Caenorhabditis elegans: one gene and its partner. The protein of the gene in region 1 purifies or fractionates together with the protein of each later gene. This does not show direct contact. Each region holds a gene or a part of one and is shown in the gene's direction. Other genes may lie near its edges.

Region 1 (5,265 bases):
AATTTCAATTTTCAATCACAAATTTCTAGTAAATCGAAAAATATTAATTTCTAGCTATTTTTAATCAGAAAATTGTGAAAAATCGTATTTTTTCTAATAAAACTACAAAATTTTCGCGCTTTTCACAGTAAAAATAGAAAAAAAACTCAATTTTTAGTATGAAATTTGCAAATCTTTGGCGATTTTCAACGGGAATAATAACATTTTTAAGTTTTCTGGCGGAAATTTGTTGAATTTTGCGATTTTTTTGCTTGAAAATTCGGTTTTTATTGAAAATTAGGCTCTCGAAAAATTTCAGACTGGAAATTCAATTTTTTATTGATTTTTCGGGGTATATTGTGAAGAATCTAGTTTTTAAAATGTTCGTTTTATTCGCGATTTTCATTTAGAAAATAGCGAAAAATTCAATTTTTGAGGCCGAAATTCGCGAATTTTCAATGGAAAATGCGTTTTCTTTCGATTTTCATACGTTTTTATAGTCAAATTTAAGAAATTTTTACATTTTAACTGCTCAACACAGAGCCAATTTGACATATTATTGTGTTGCTGGTTGTAGTAGAACTCTTCAATTGTTTCTTCATGCTTTTCAAGTTGAGTAGAGCACTGAAAATATAGAAATTACAGGGTTTTTATTAAAAATTTAATTTTTTGAATACTTTAAACTCGATTTCTGCGATTCCCATAAAATTGTCCATATTTGGGAGCGACGATTTCTTGCAAACACCTTCGAGAACTTCGATTAGCCGGGTTTCACTGAAAATTTTGATTTTTTTTTTAATTTAAAATATTTCCAGCGCCAAATTTCGAGAAACCAACCTAGTTTTGTACTTTCCCAGATTTTTCTCTTCCCAAGCTGTGTCTCCACCGGCAAAATGATGGCGAGCCGTTTTTTTGAGACCCTGAAATTCGGAATTTCTTTTTATTTTATATTTTTAAATTCATTTAAATATAAAAATAGAGCACAAACCTCATCAAATGTGCTCACTAGAAAATTACACGTCCTGCATTTTTCGTTTTTGATGGTGACTTCTTTTTGTGACGTGGCACCAATTAATACAGCAAGCAGGAGCAGTATCCGGCTCATTTTCACCCTGAAAAATGGAAAAAATTGGATTTTTATGTAGCTTTAAGACACGACAAACCGTTATTTTAGAGAAATTACACGCAGAATAAGCGAATGAGCGCGGCCGAATGCACTGCAAATTGTCTACGTTGTCCAGTTTCTCGGCCCTGTGAGCGGAGAAAAGAGAGGGAGAAAAGAAAAATGAACAAATATTGGCTTTGACCGGGATTACTAGCAAAAGAGGTGACTGATGGAAGAGGGAACAATTAAATATTAGAAAAATTCGAAAAAGTTAATTATTTTCGCTGGAAATCACCTTAATTTGGGGAGTTTCGAAAGAAATTTTGATAAAAATAGAATTATCCACTTTTTATTTCGTGAAAAAAACAACAATTTCGACTGAAAATCCAGCTTTAATTCGAGAAATAACAAATATTTATTTATTTAATTAAATTAAATTAAATTAAAGAAAATAATTGAATTACTGTAGTGATCGTTGCGGGACCCGATGAACCGAAATCGGTATGCGCCTTGTAGTTACGGTAAGAAAAACGGGCGGTGTCGAGAATTTAATTTAAATTGCATTTCCAAAACAATTTTCCTCGTTTGAAAATAAATTTTACGAGTTTTTGGTTAGTTTAAATGCTAAAAACTTGATTTAATTTAATAAAACGTACCTAAAAATTCAGTTTCGTAGCAGAAAACACGAAAATTTCAGTTTTTAGTAAAATTTTCGGAATTTCTATTTTCAAGTCTTGTTTATAGTTACTTTTTATGGTGTTCAATCAACTTTTTGAAGTTTAAAATGTTTAAAACGTTTAAAATTACTTTACAAGAACCGAAAAAAACCGAAAATATTTCAATTTTTAGTTTTTCAGCAACCTTTTCTTAAATCAGAAATAATTTTATGAAATTTTGGTTCAAATGTCCACTCGATGGAGATATTACAATTCAAAACGCGGGAATGGATTCCGCGGTCGAGGCAGAGGCCGAGGTCGCGGTACAAGCTTGACCGCCGTCGCCTTACCCCGTGATGATAATTTTCACAAGGGAGCTCAGGATGGCGCTTATTTCAAAGGTTAACTCTAGATTATTCCTATTTTCTTTAAATAATTTATTAAAATTGCAGACATGCCGATGGATCCGGAGCAATTTCGGGATGAAACGGTGCTCAGTCTTTCTTTTGCTCAAGGAATGCTCGGAGCTGCCTACTACGAGCAATCAAGCCAGTTGTTGAAGATCATGAACGATATTTCAGAAGATCTTGAATTTAGATTCTTGAAGAGATGTCAGTTTTAAATCCAAAAAGCTTGAAATTCAACTCATTTTTTTCAGTGATAGACGATGTGAAGCCGACGCTAATAATCGCAAATAGAAGCCAGGATCTCGAATTTATCAAATTTTTGACCACGCGGTGTATGAAAATCATTATAAAAATTGAAAAAAAAAGATTTTTTTAAAATTTTTTTCAGATGATCCACAGGAAAAAATCTATGAAGACGGGACTACAGAAGAAGGAACATCAGAGGATACGGTTCCGACATGGGATTCTTCGCTAGCTTATTCTACTGACGAGACAACGGCGGAAAAAGAAGAAAAAGAAGAAGACGAAGATGATGATGACGAAGGATTACCGGCGAAGCTTAATAAGCTCCCGAACAACTTTTTCAGTTGCTTAATAATCTCCAAACATTTTTGATTTTAAAAATAAATTTGCAGGAATGTCGCGAGCTATAGAAAGATTAAAGGCGATGGCCGGGTCCCATGACAGTTCGATGACGGAAGAGGACAAGTACATTATCATCAAGATGAGATTTGATATTGAAGCTGTTAATATGGTTAGCAGATCTCTGAGCCAAAAAAAAAATTATTTTCCATCTTCAGATAAGATCATTTGGAGCACTTCTTCTTTTCCTCGATGAAACTAGGATGGGCGTGACAGACGATCCTTTGTCAGTCACTTCACCTATCAAATCTATCAAGACATTTACATTGTAATTTTACTATTTTTTGTTTTTTATTTCCCTTTGAAACAAAAAAAATCATTTTCTTCTTTTTCAGAGGAAACCTGGTAGAAATCGATTTCAACACAATTCAGGCGCTGGATATTCTGCCAAAGGAAACCGAGAATAAGAAGACTTTCGGACAAGGTAGATCACTTTATCAGTTGATGGATAAATGTAGATCAACCGTTGGAAAAAAGTGCCTTCGAAAATGGTTTAGAAATCCGACTACGGATAGAGATGATCTTGTGTCAAGACAAAAATGTGTGCACTACTTCAAACAGGTGATAATCTTTAAAGTGGAGTACCGAAATCTATGGGAAATATTTTTAAATCACTCCAAATTTTCCCCTGATTCCGAATATCTAAGTGAAAAAATATTTTTAAAAAAGAGATCCCTGATTTTATATTTCAGCTTGAAATCGCGATTTTCAAACGCAGAATTTTCGCGCCAGAGACGGCATGTGTCGATTTACGAGATTTGTGTATATTTACGAGATTTTCAATCTTTATCAGATGCTGATTTTCATTTTTCAACGAGTTTCTTTCATTTTCGTCGGTTTTGCCAGGTTTTTTTTTAAAAGAAAATGTGTTTTTAAGGTAAATTAAACATTATATTATCGAAAAACTACAAAAGTTTCGATTTTCTGTCGGGAAAAGAAATTTTGATAGATTTTTGTTGATATAATGTTTAATTAACCCTAAAAAACGCATTTTCAAAAAAAACCTGGCAAAAACCGACGAAAATGAAGGAAACTCGTTGAAAAACGGAAATCAGTATCCGATAAAGTTTAAAAATCTCGTAAATCGACATGTGGGGCGTCTCAGGCACGAAAGTTCGGCGTTTGAAAAGTCTCATGGGGACGCAAATGAAAATCGCGATTTCAAGCTGAAATATAAAATCAGGGAAATTTTTTTTGAATTTTTTCACTTAGATATTCGGAATTATGAGAAAATTTAAAGTCATTTAAAAAAATATTTTTTGTATTTCGGTACTCCACCTTTAATAAATTATCTTTTCGTCAAATATATACATTTTTTTCTCAAATTTAGGACTGGAACGCCGAAGTGACCGCTAAGTTATCATCAATTCTTGGAAGAGTGAAGGCTCTGAACGTATTAAATAGCAATCAAGTTTAATTTAATTCATTTTTGGCCGATTTCAGAGTGTATTCCAAAAATTTCAAAGTGGAACAGCTCAGCTCATTCATTGGGAGTGCTTCGTATCGACAGTCAACGCGCTTGTTGAAATCTTGAATATTATCAGGCAGACACCGGTAAATTCAAATAATTAATTTTTATAAAAAAGCGAGGTTTCAAATAATTTTTATTCAGATTTCGAAGGAGTTTCCTGTAGAATCAGATCTTCTCCGAGAAGTCTCTGAAATTGCAGTCATCGCGGGCTCCATTGTATGTTGCCAAGTGTTTTCTAAAATACGGTACCTGGTCTCGACACGACAAGAGAAGAGTACTGTACTTTCAAACTTTGTTGTCGCTGGCATTTTCGTTAACAATCTCGTGTTTTAACTCTTTCGTTGAAGTTTTTTAATCGGAAAACTGTGAAAAATCGATGAAAATTCCAGAGCAAAAAAAGTTTGCGATTACAGTAGTCGAACCACATTTATCAAAACTTTGCCGTGCCGAGACCAGGAATAAGATTTAAATCAAACTTCAAAAATTTCAGATCAACTTCGCAGAGTCGAAGATTCAAGGAAGAGTGACAGTGATGAATGGAATCGATGAAGAATTGGATGAAAGTATTTTTTTTAATTGTTTTCAAGCCCTTATTTTATTATTTCTTCAGTACGCGACACATATGAGAACATGCCAATGGTGCTCACTGCAATTGCTAAACAGGAAGAAGCTCGACTTGGTCTACCACCGTACTCTAATGTGGCGTGTGTCTACATACCACTCGTCGGATTTGTTCTTTCAGTTCCAAGAGATTACGGTGTGGAATCACAGCCTGAGTAAGCAATTCAAATCAAAATGAAATCACGCTCCACCCCTAAACGTTGGGTCTCGTTAGGAATCAACGGAAAATCCGATTTTCAAGCATTTTTGACCTTTTTTCAATTGTTTTTCTAGTTTTTATGCAAAAATAGTGCTAAAAAAGTGCATGTAAAATTGGACTTTGAAGTAGGTTAGTTTTGACGTAAAAAATAATGGAAACAACGGAAAAATGGTGGAATTGTCCAA
Region 2 (6,788 bases), on another chromosome or scaffold:
ATGTAAGTTAGAAAATCAATTTAAATTCAAATTTAATCTGTATTATGTAATAACACAAAAGAATAATCTTATAGTATATTTCAGAAATGTTGTAAACGATTTCTGAATTAATTCTTCATAATTTACCAGCATACATTTTTAAGATACAAGAAATTAAATATTGTTCCAACACTTTTTTTACAGGCGGTGATCCATTTTCTGATGCTGTCTGGCTTCCTGTACTCGATTTATGTTCTATCGAGTGTGAAATAACATCCGAATATTGTGTGGAAAATGAGGAACTTACACAACAATGCAAGAAATGTATGTTTTCGATGTTTAGAAGAAAGCTTGAGTTTTAAAAAATCTTTTTTCAGTACCGGAAGATTGCCAGGCTCTTCTCCGAAAAGCAATCAAACAAATTCAGAGACATATTCGATCACAAAAGCCAGTTTACCTTTAGATAATTTCTATCTCACTAATTTTTGTAAATTTGAACAATAAAGACTCTTGAATATTACCTTTTTACTCATCAATCTGAATTGTCCTTTTCCACGTGTAGCGGTCTCCATTCGATTCAAAACTTCTTTAGTAAATACTACAACAATTGATTTCACATCGCCTCCAAAATCAAAGAATTGAGTGACAATCGTGAGAATTCTATCGAAAACTTTCGTCTCGTTGCTTGAAAGGGCCCATGGCTCGAGAACTTCTGAAAATGAGAATTTATAAAAAAAACTTTTCAAAAGTATAACTTACTCAGGTACATTTTATCAAAACCAGATGATTCAACTGATGCTTTGATGAGAAGTGGAAGAAATACTTGAACTGTGGCGAAGTCACAGCGCTGAAAATAAAGTATTTATAAAAATTTTAAAATAGAAAACTAACCTTTAAAGCAGCCAAAATTTTAGGATACTGATCATCAGAAAATTGAATAGATCCGTCTTTCTTTACAAACTTTGCGTATTTTGCAACCACTGTTGAATGAGAATTACGAAGGCGAAGTGCCAGGTAGACATTTTCCGGTGTGAACTGAGAGCTGAGACCTTCCAAATTCATTTCGATGGCTGGGGATACACTCTGAAATTTAAAAATTAATATAGATTTGTTTTTGTTCAAACAGTAAATTGATTTACCTTTTGGAAAACACTTTCTTTTGTCTTTGTAGCCAAACTGCATAGAAGGTTAATCTGTGAAAATGCCAAGCTTGGAGCAAAGTCTCTGATTTTCTTCGAATGCTCAACAATTTTTGTAGCTTCTGCTTCTTTGAGTTTTCTGGTTTGACAATATGTGACAAGAATAAGATAATGTCCAATTGCATGTCCGGTACCAACAGTCTGAATCGAAACATTTAGTACAAATAAAGGAACTTACAATCCCAACCTTTTCTGCCAGGTCCATCTTTTTATCTGCAACGGCCAATATTTTGTCGAGTTCCCATGATTCGCCTGCTTTTGTCATTAAAATAGTACCCAAAGCGGTTGTATATCCCAAACGAACAGCAGCACGAGCTGAAGCACATCCAGAAATAAGACGTTCAATCACATATGTGTTGAGCTCGTTATCGGATAATTCCTAAAAAAATAACACTTTAATTAGGCATTTATTTCAGCTACTTTTTTCCTACCTCTTGTTTGCTTGAAAGCTGTCTAACTGCTCCTTTTCTGACTAATGGATCGAGCTCAGCAAGCTTTGAAATAATATCGAGTAATTCACTTGGCGGTCTCATGCTTAAAACTTAAAATTATAATTAAAAAGAGAATAAATTGACGAGAGGATCATTCTCGTGAATTTTCCAGACCAAGTAAACTGTATTTTTCTATAAAACACAAAAAATAAATGTAATTTTAGTTTAATGAAAGAAAAAGAAATAGAAGTAAAATATTTTGTTCGTAAAATAAAATGTATTCTGTGCGCACGCACCACACCTGACGCGCAAACAAACAAGTGCGATTTTCGAATTTTATTCTTTTCCTGTTTGATTTAATTATTGTTTCAGCGTCAAATAATGTTTGAAAACACTAAAAAAGCATTGGAAACGTTTCGAACAGCTATCGAGTGTGTTAAATGGTAAGTTGTTGTACAAGATTTTGCCTCTTAAATAAAATTTCAGCAAAAAACCGAGGGGAGACTTGCAATATCTCGGATCATCTTGCAAACATGCTTATTGCTGGTAGGTATTGCAACCTAATAAATTGTCAATAACTTCAGTTTATGTTCAGGGAATGTATCGCCACATTTCAACAGAAACCGTCTGGAAAACGCTCTTCAGTGGCTCGACACATGTGTCCGAGTTGTGCTTTCCCACTAGACACATCCAAAATCACAGAAGCTCATATGCTGAAAACGTGCTTTGATACTTTGTCTGAACTAAACGACCTTTTACAGAAAGTAAGTCAATGGTGAAAAGCTCGAAAATTAAATTCTCATTTAGGTCGGAACAACATCTCTAACTCAAGCAGAGTTTGCCTGTACACAAAACATTTTTAACAAAGAAAAAACTCCAGCTGATGCCGTAGAGAAATTCCTGGAGACGCAAGCTCATATGCCAGACGAGATGGGACAACTTGGTGAAGAGGATGATGATTTGATGTGTAAAGATGAAAACCGGTAAGTCGAAAAAATCTGCGTTCGGGGGGAATCGAACCCCCGTCGAATGCTTGGAAGGCATCCATGCTGACCATTACACCACGAACGCGACATATCGGGGATATCTTTCCGAGAAAACGATTCCCGTCATGCTTCTTCTACAAACCTGATGCGGTCTATTTGGTGGCTTCAAGTAGAAATGTCTCTTCATTTAATAGCTGGTTTCCCATGCCGCGTTCGTGGTGTAATGGTCAGCATGGATGCCTTCCAAGCATTCGACGGGGGTTCGATTCCCCCCGAACGCAGAACTTTTTTTCATATTTTCCCAGTAAATTCAGGGAAAATTCAAACTCTCCAGAATTGGATATATTCCACGACTACAGCAAAGAAGCTTCTCCGTGAGTTTGTTACATTGCTTCAATTAATTGAATTTTATTTACTTTTAGAACGCGTAATTCGACAAAACGCCCTTCAACTGTCAGTGTTCATGAGAGAAAACCCAAAAGGTCATCGATACTGAAAACTTCCGTCAAAAATGAACCGGCTGCGCCTGTAGTTGATCTTTTTGCATCGCAAGTTCCGCAGAGAACTCATCAAAATGATTTACTGACGCCGTTTATTGAGGTATGACAATTTCACTTTAAAGACGCTTCAGAACTTTAACGGAAATTCTTCAGCGTCGCTCAACTGCTCCAGCAGCAACTGGTGTTGCAACGTATGCTCAAGCTTTCGGAAGTAGCAGTAATCCAGTTAAAGCCGAAATTATCGAAGAAGATATTTTCTCGAAAGCGATTCCTCTCACAAAACGGCAAGCTTCAATGAGTGCGAGCGCCAAGAAACAACCAAAATTGGAACCTGAAGAACCAGAAGAAGTACCATCGACGTCTAGAAGTCGTAAAAATTCGATTAAATCCGATAAAATCGAACGACGATCTCAATCACCGATGAGTTTTGGAGAGAAGTCGATGAGTGTGAAATCAGAGCAAGTGAGTGACTTCAATAAAAGAGTTTTCGGGCGTTCGTCTTTCTACTCTGTCACGCTCAACGTCCACATTATCTTGTTGTCTGCGCCTCTGTCCCTTACTTAACAAGTCTTTGCATCACAGCACGCATGGCCTCCTTAGCTCAGTTGGTAGAGCGTGAGACTTTTAATCTTAAGGTCAGGGGTTCGAGTCCCCTAGGTGGCTTGACTTTTTTTTTTGAAAATTGAACTTGATCTCTACGCCTTCATTCCAATTTTCACATTTTCGCAAACTTTTTGCAATTTTTTAAATGTTCAGCGTCGCAGTTCTTATGGTACTCGTCGTGGTGAAGCTGTCCTGGTCAATTCAATTCGCAATAATCGTATTCCTCAACTTCGAAGTGCTGTAGAGGCAGGAACGTGCGTAAATGAGAAAGAAGACGGAAAGACACCACTTTACGTGGCAGTTGAGAATAGCTCATTGGAAGCTGTTAAGATACTTGTTGAAGCGGGTGCAGTTATTAATGCTTCATGTAAGAAACAACTTCTATCAACTTTCTTGACGAAGAATTCAGGCGGCTCAACATTAGAAACAACGCTTCACGAGGCTGTTCGCCGTCAAAATACTCAAATTGTTGAATATCTTTTATCGAAAGGTGCCAGCATCAAAATTCGAAATATTGCTGGAAAAACTGTCGAAGAAATGGCTAAAAGTGATCCGAAAATTAGGAAAATAATCGAAAAATTCAAGACTGAACAGAGAGTTTTACAGCCTGGTAAGAAATTTTTTGACAATTTTATTCTTCGTGATAAAAATTGAATTTTCAGTCGTCGCCCCTCCAAAATCTCGTCTTCATTTCGTTCAACTCATAGATGAGAAGATGCTCACTGAATCTGAAAAACGAAAACTTCCCGGAAAAATCAATGTAAAAACAATTAATTTTTAAAAATAAAATAAATTTATTCAGATAGTTCCTGCTGATATGGATTCTCCGACGCATGTGGTAGTCACCGTTGATTTGAAAACTCGTGTGCTCAATATTAACAAGGAGCATATTGGAGAAATTTTAAAAGCTATCATAAAGTAGGTTTTTAAAATTATCCTAAAAAGTGGGAGATAGTCATTTTGGGATTTTTAATGTCAGAAAATAGACCGTAATGACAGACTATAGCTGTTAAGAAATTAATTTTTTCGAAATTTTTCAAAAAATGGGCTACTTATTTTTAAATTCTCGCGCAAATAAATGGAAGGCATTTGTTCGTAAGAAAACGCATGATAATCAGAAAGAAATTCGCTGAAACTTCAAAATTGAATTGAAAGTCGATAATTTCACATTTATTCATCTTTTTTTTTGCTTAAAAAATTTATGAAAATCTGACAATCTTCGGAACATCAAGCAAAAATCACGAAAAGCGTTCGAATTTAGCCATTCATTTGCACGAGAGTTCAAAACTAATCAGAACTTATTATTTTTCCAAAGCTGAAATAATTTTTTAACAGTTATATTCGGTAATTATGGTCTATTTTCTATCATTCCTTCAAATCAGGTCGCAATGCATTACATATTTATTGGAGATAAAAAGATAATTAGGCACGAACACAGGCTCCTGCCACACATTTTTTTCCAACTGGACAGTCAAAAGTACAAGGTTCATCAGCATTTTCGTCAGTGATAACAACTCCACCACTTGCATGATTTGAAAAAAGACATTGTCCATAAACACAAAGCCTATTATCCGAGCAATCCGAATCAGTTCGACATTCTGCTTTCTTTGCATTAACATAAATTGAAAGAAGAAGAAGAAGGAAACACTGCAAAATTAGTTTTGAATATTAGCAAAAGTAGTATATAACTCACCAGAAACACCTTCATTTCAGTTTCACAGTGGCTCGATTGTATTATAAAATGCGTTTCCCTGTCTAGTTATAGACTGATCCCATGGGAAAATTGCAAACAATCGCAAGGGTGCAGTATGAGAGCCAAAAAAATCTATGTGAAAATATGAAATTTCAAAGCGGAAATTCATACTTTCAGATCGGGAATGATAGTTAGTCGAGATTGGCTGAGAGCGTGCATTATTGATCCATCGAAAGTCGATGATGATCGTTCTTATATGGTTCAGAAAGTTAGATGGATGGAAGGTGAAGTATTTGAAAATACTATTGAACAATGGAAGAAGACAATCACTAAAATGGTACGGATTTGATTTCCACTAAAGAAAAAAATACAACCAAATTTTTCAGCAACCAAAATTGTTCGCCGGTTGCAAATTTTTCATTCCAAAGCCAAAGTATAACTTCCTCGGTACGATTCTAATTTACAGTATTTTAATTTTTTCAATTTTCAATTTCAGATCGCCCAGCTCTTTTTGAAATTATTCGATCTGCCGGTGGTCAAGCTGCAGCGAGGGAGCCCATTATTGACGAAAAAGATCCACCGCCGTACCATAATGCCAACTTGAAACCAAACTTTGTGCTCTACAGCTTGACACATGATGTAAGTTTAACGAAGGAGTTTTCCTGTTATTATGGATTCGGTAGTTTCAGTTTGGTGACATTTTTATTTCTCTTTACAGATAGGAGACAAATTCCGCGACTGCACAAAGTACAATCTTGTCAGCGAGCAGTGGTTAATAGAGGCGATTCTTGGATGCTCCATCACAACACCACCACATTAACCATTTTCCGTTTTAAAATATTTTCTTTTGCGTTTCTATTGTAAAATTGCAATATGAATGATTATTTTTTGAAGTGTTATTTTATACACAACGGCATCCAATCCATGCAATTAAAGTTATGATGTAATTAAAATCGAGAACAAGATATAAATATAAGTTATGAGATCATATTAATTAAAAACAATTTACCGGCTTAAAACAAGAAAATTACAATTGAGTTATACAATTTACAATGATACAATTTACATTAAGAAGAATCTACACCATTCGTTTCCTGTACCTTTAATTTTCTTTTTTGATATTTGTTAACGGCAGTGACTGGACGAGTCTCATTATATTTCCGTTGATAAATAAAACAAGCATTACATTGAATTCCTTCCTTTGATCGAATATTCCTCCAACGAATTGTTTCAGTTACTGAACAATTTGAGCATTGAAATGACTTCTTATTATCAGAATTGCTCGGTGGAGTTGAACTTTGAGTAGAGGTAGATGGAGATGTAGATGGAGTAGAAAAATGAGTAAACGTGGTGAAATGGGAAGAATTAGGACTTCCAGTAGTTGGTGAAATATTTAA

What was found.
Region 2: the proteins of msh-5 (region 1) and brd-1 purify together in Caenorhabditis elegans (affinity purification with western blotting, with the first as the bait; one study listed by BioGRID). This does not show direct contact.

The regions. Positions count from the first base shown.
Region 1 is NC_003282.8:13,153,246-13,158,510, forward strand, and holds the start of msh-5 (MutS protein homolog 5), read left to right. Parts: upstream 1-1,987; coding exon 1,988-2,141; intron 2,142-2,192; coding exon 2,193-2,351; intron 2,352-2,398; coding exon 2,399-2,479; intron 2,480-2,535; coding exon 2,536-2,733; intron 2,734-2,782; coding exon 2,783-2,901; intron 2,902-2,947; coding exon 2,948-3,057; intron 3,058-3,124; coding exon 3,125-3,350; intron 3,351-4,119; coding exon 4,120-4,182; intron 4,183-4,232; coding exon 4,233-4,343; intron 4,344-4,401; coding exon 4,402-4,476; intron 4,477-4,750; coding exon 4,751-4,823; intron 4,824-4,870; coding exon 4,871-5,036; intron 5,037-5,265. Other genes in the region: Protein disulfide isomerase crld-1, read right to left, coding at 501-603, 657-753, 817-899, 968-1,084. UniProt on the Caenorhabditis elegans protein: Crucial component in meiotic recombination, functioning at some point after the initiation step of recombination. Plays a role in promoting the crossover outcome of meiotic recombination events.
Region 2 is NC_003281.10:6,884,698-6,891,485, reverse strand, and holds brd-1 (BRCA1-associated RING domain protein 1), read left to right. Parts: upstream 1-1,981; 5' UTR 1,982-1,990; coding exon 1,991-2,052; intron 2,053-2,095; coding exon 2,096-2,155; intron 2,156-2,204; coding exon 2,205-2,373; intron 2,374-2,416; coding exon 2,417-2,592; intron 2,593-2,600; exon of another isoform or gene 2,601-2,683; intron 2,684-2,804; exon of another isoform or gene 2,805-2,895; intron 2,896-2,909; coding exon 2,910-2,969; intron 2,970-3,017; coding exon 3,018-3,195; intron 3,196-3,248; coding exon 3,249-3,557; intron 3,558-3,682; exon of another isoform or gene 3,683-3,770; intron 3,771-3,851; coding exon 3,852-4,065; intron 4,066-4,107; coding exon 4,108-4,308; intron 4,309-4,360; coding exon 4,361-4,458; intron 4,459-4,500; coding exon 4,501-4,616; intron 4,617-5,568; coding exon 5,569-5,728; intron 5,729-5,777; coding exon 5,778-5,838; intron 5,839-5,887; coding exon 5,888-6,030; intron 6,031-6,109; coding exon 6,110-6,211; 3' UTR 6,212-6,279; downstream 6,280-6,788. Other genes in the region: K04C2.5 (INSulin related), read left to right, coding at 1-2, 184-303, 357-442; K04C2.2 (DNA polymerase V), read right to left, coding at 501-691, 739-826, 871-1,062, 1,119-1,319, 1,366-1,557, 1,610-1,711; med-2 (GATA-type domain-containing protein), read right to left, coding at 6,459-6,788. UniProt on the Caenorhabditis elegans protein: Constituent of the CeBCD complex that possesses E3 ubiquitin-protein ligase activity.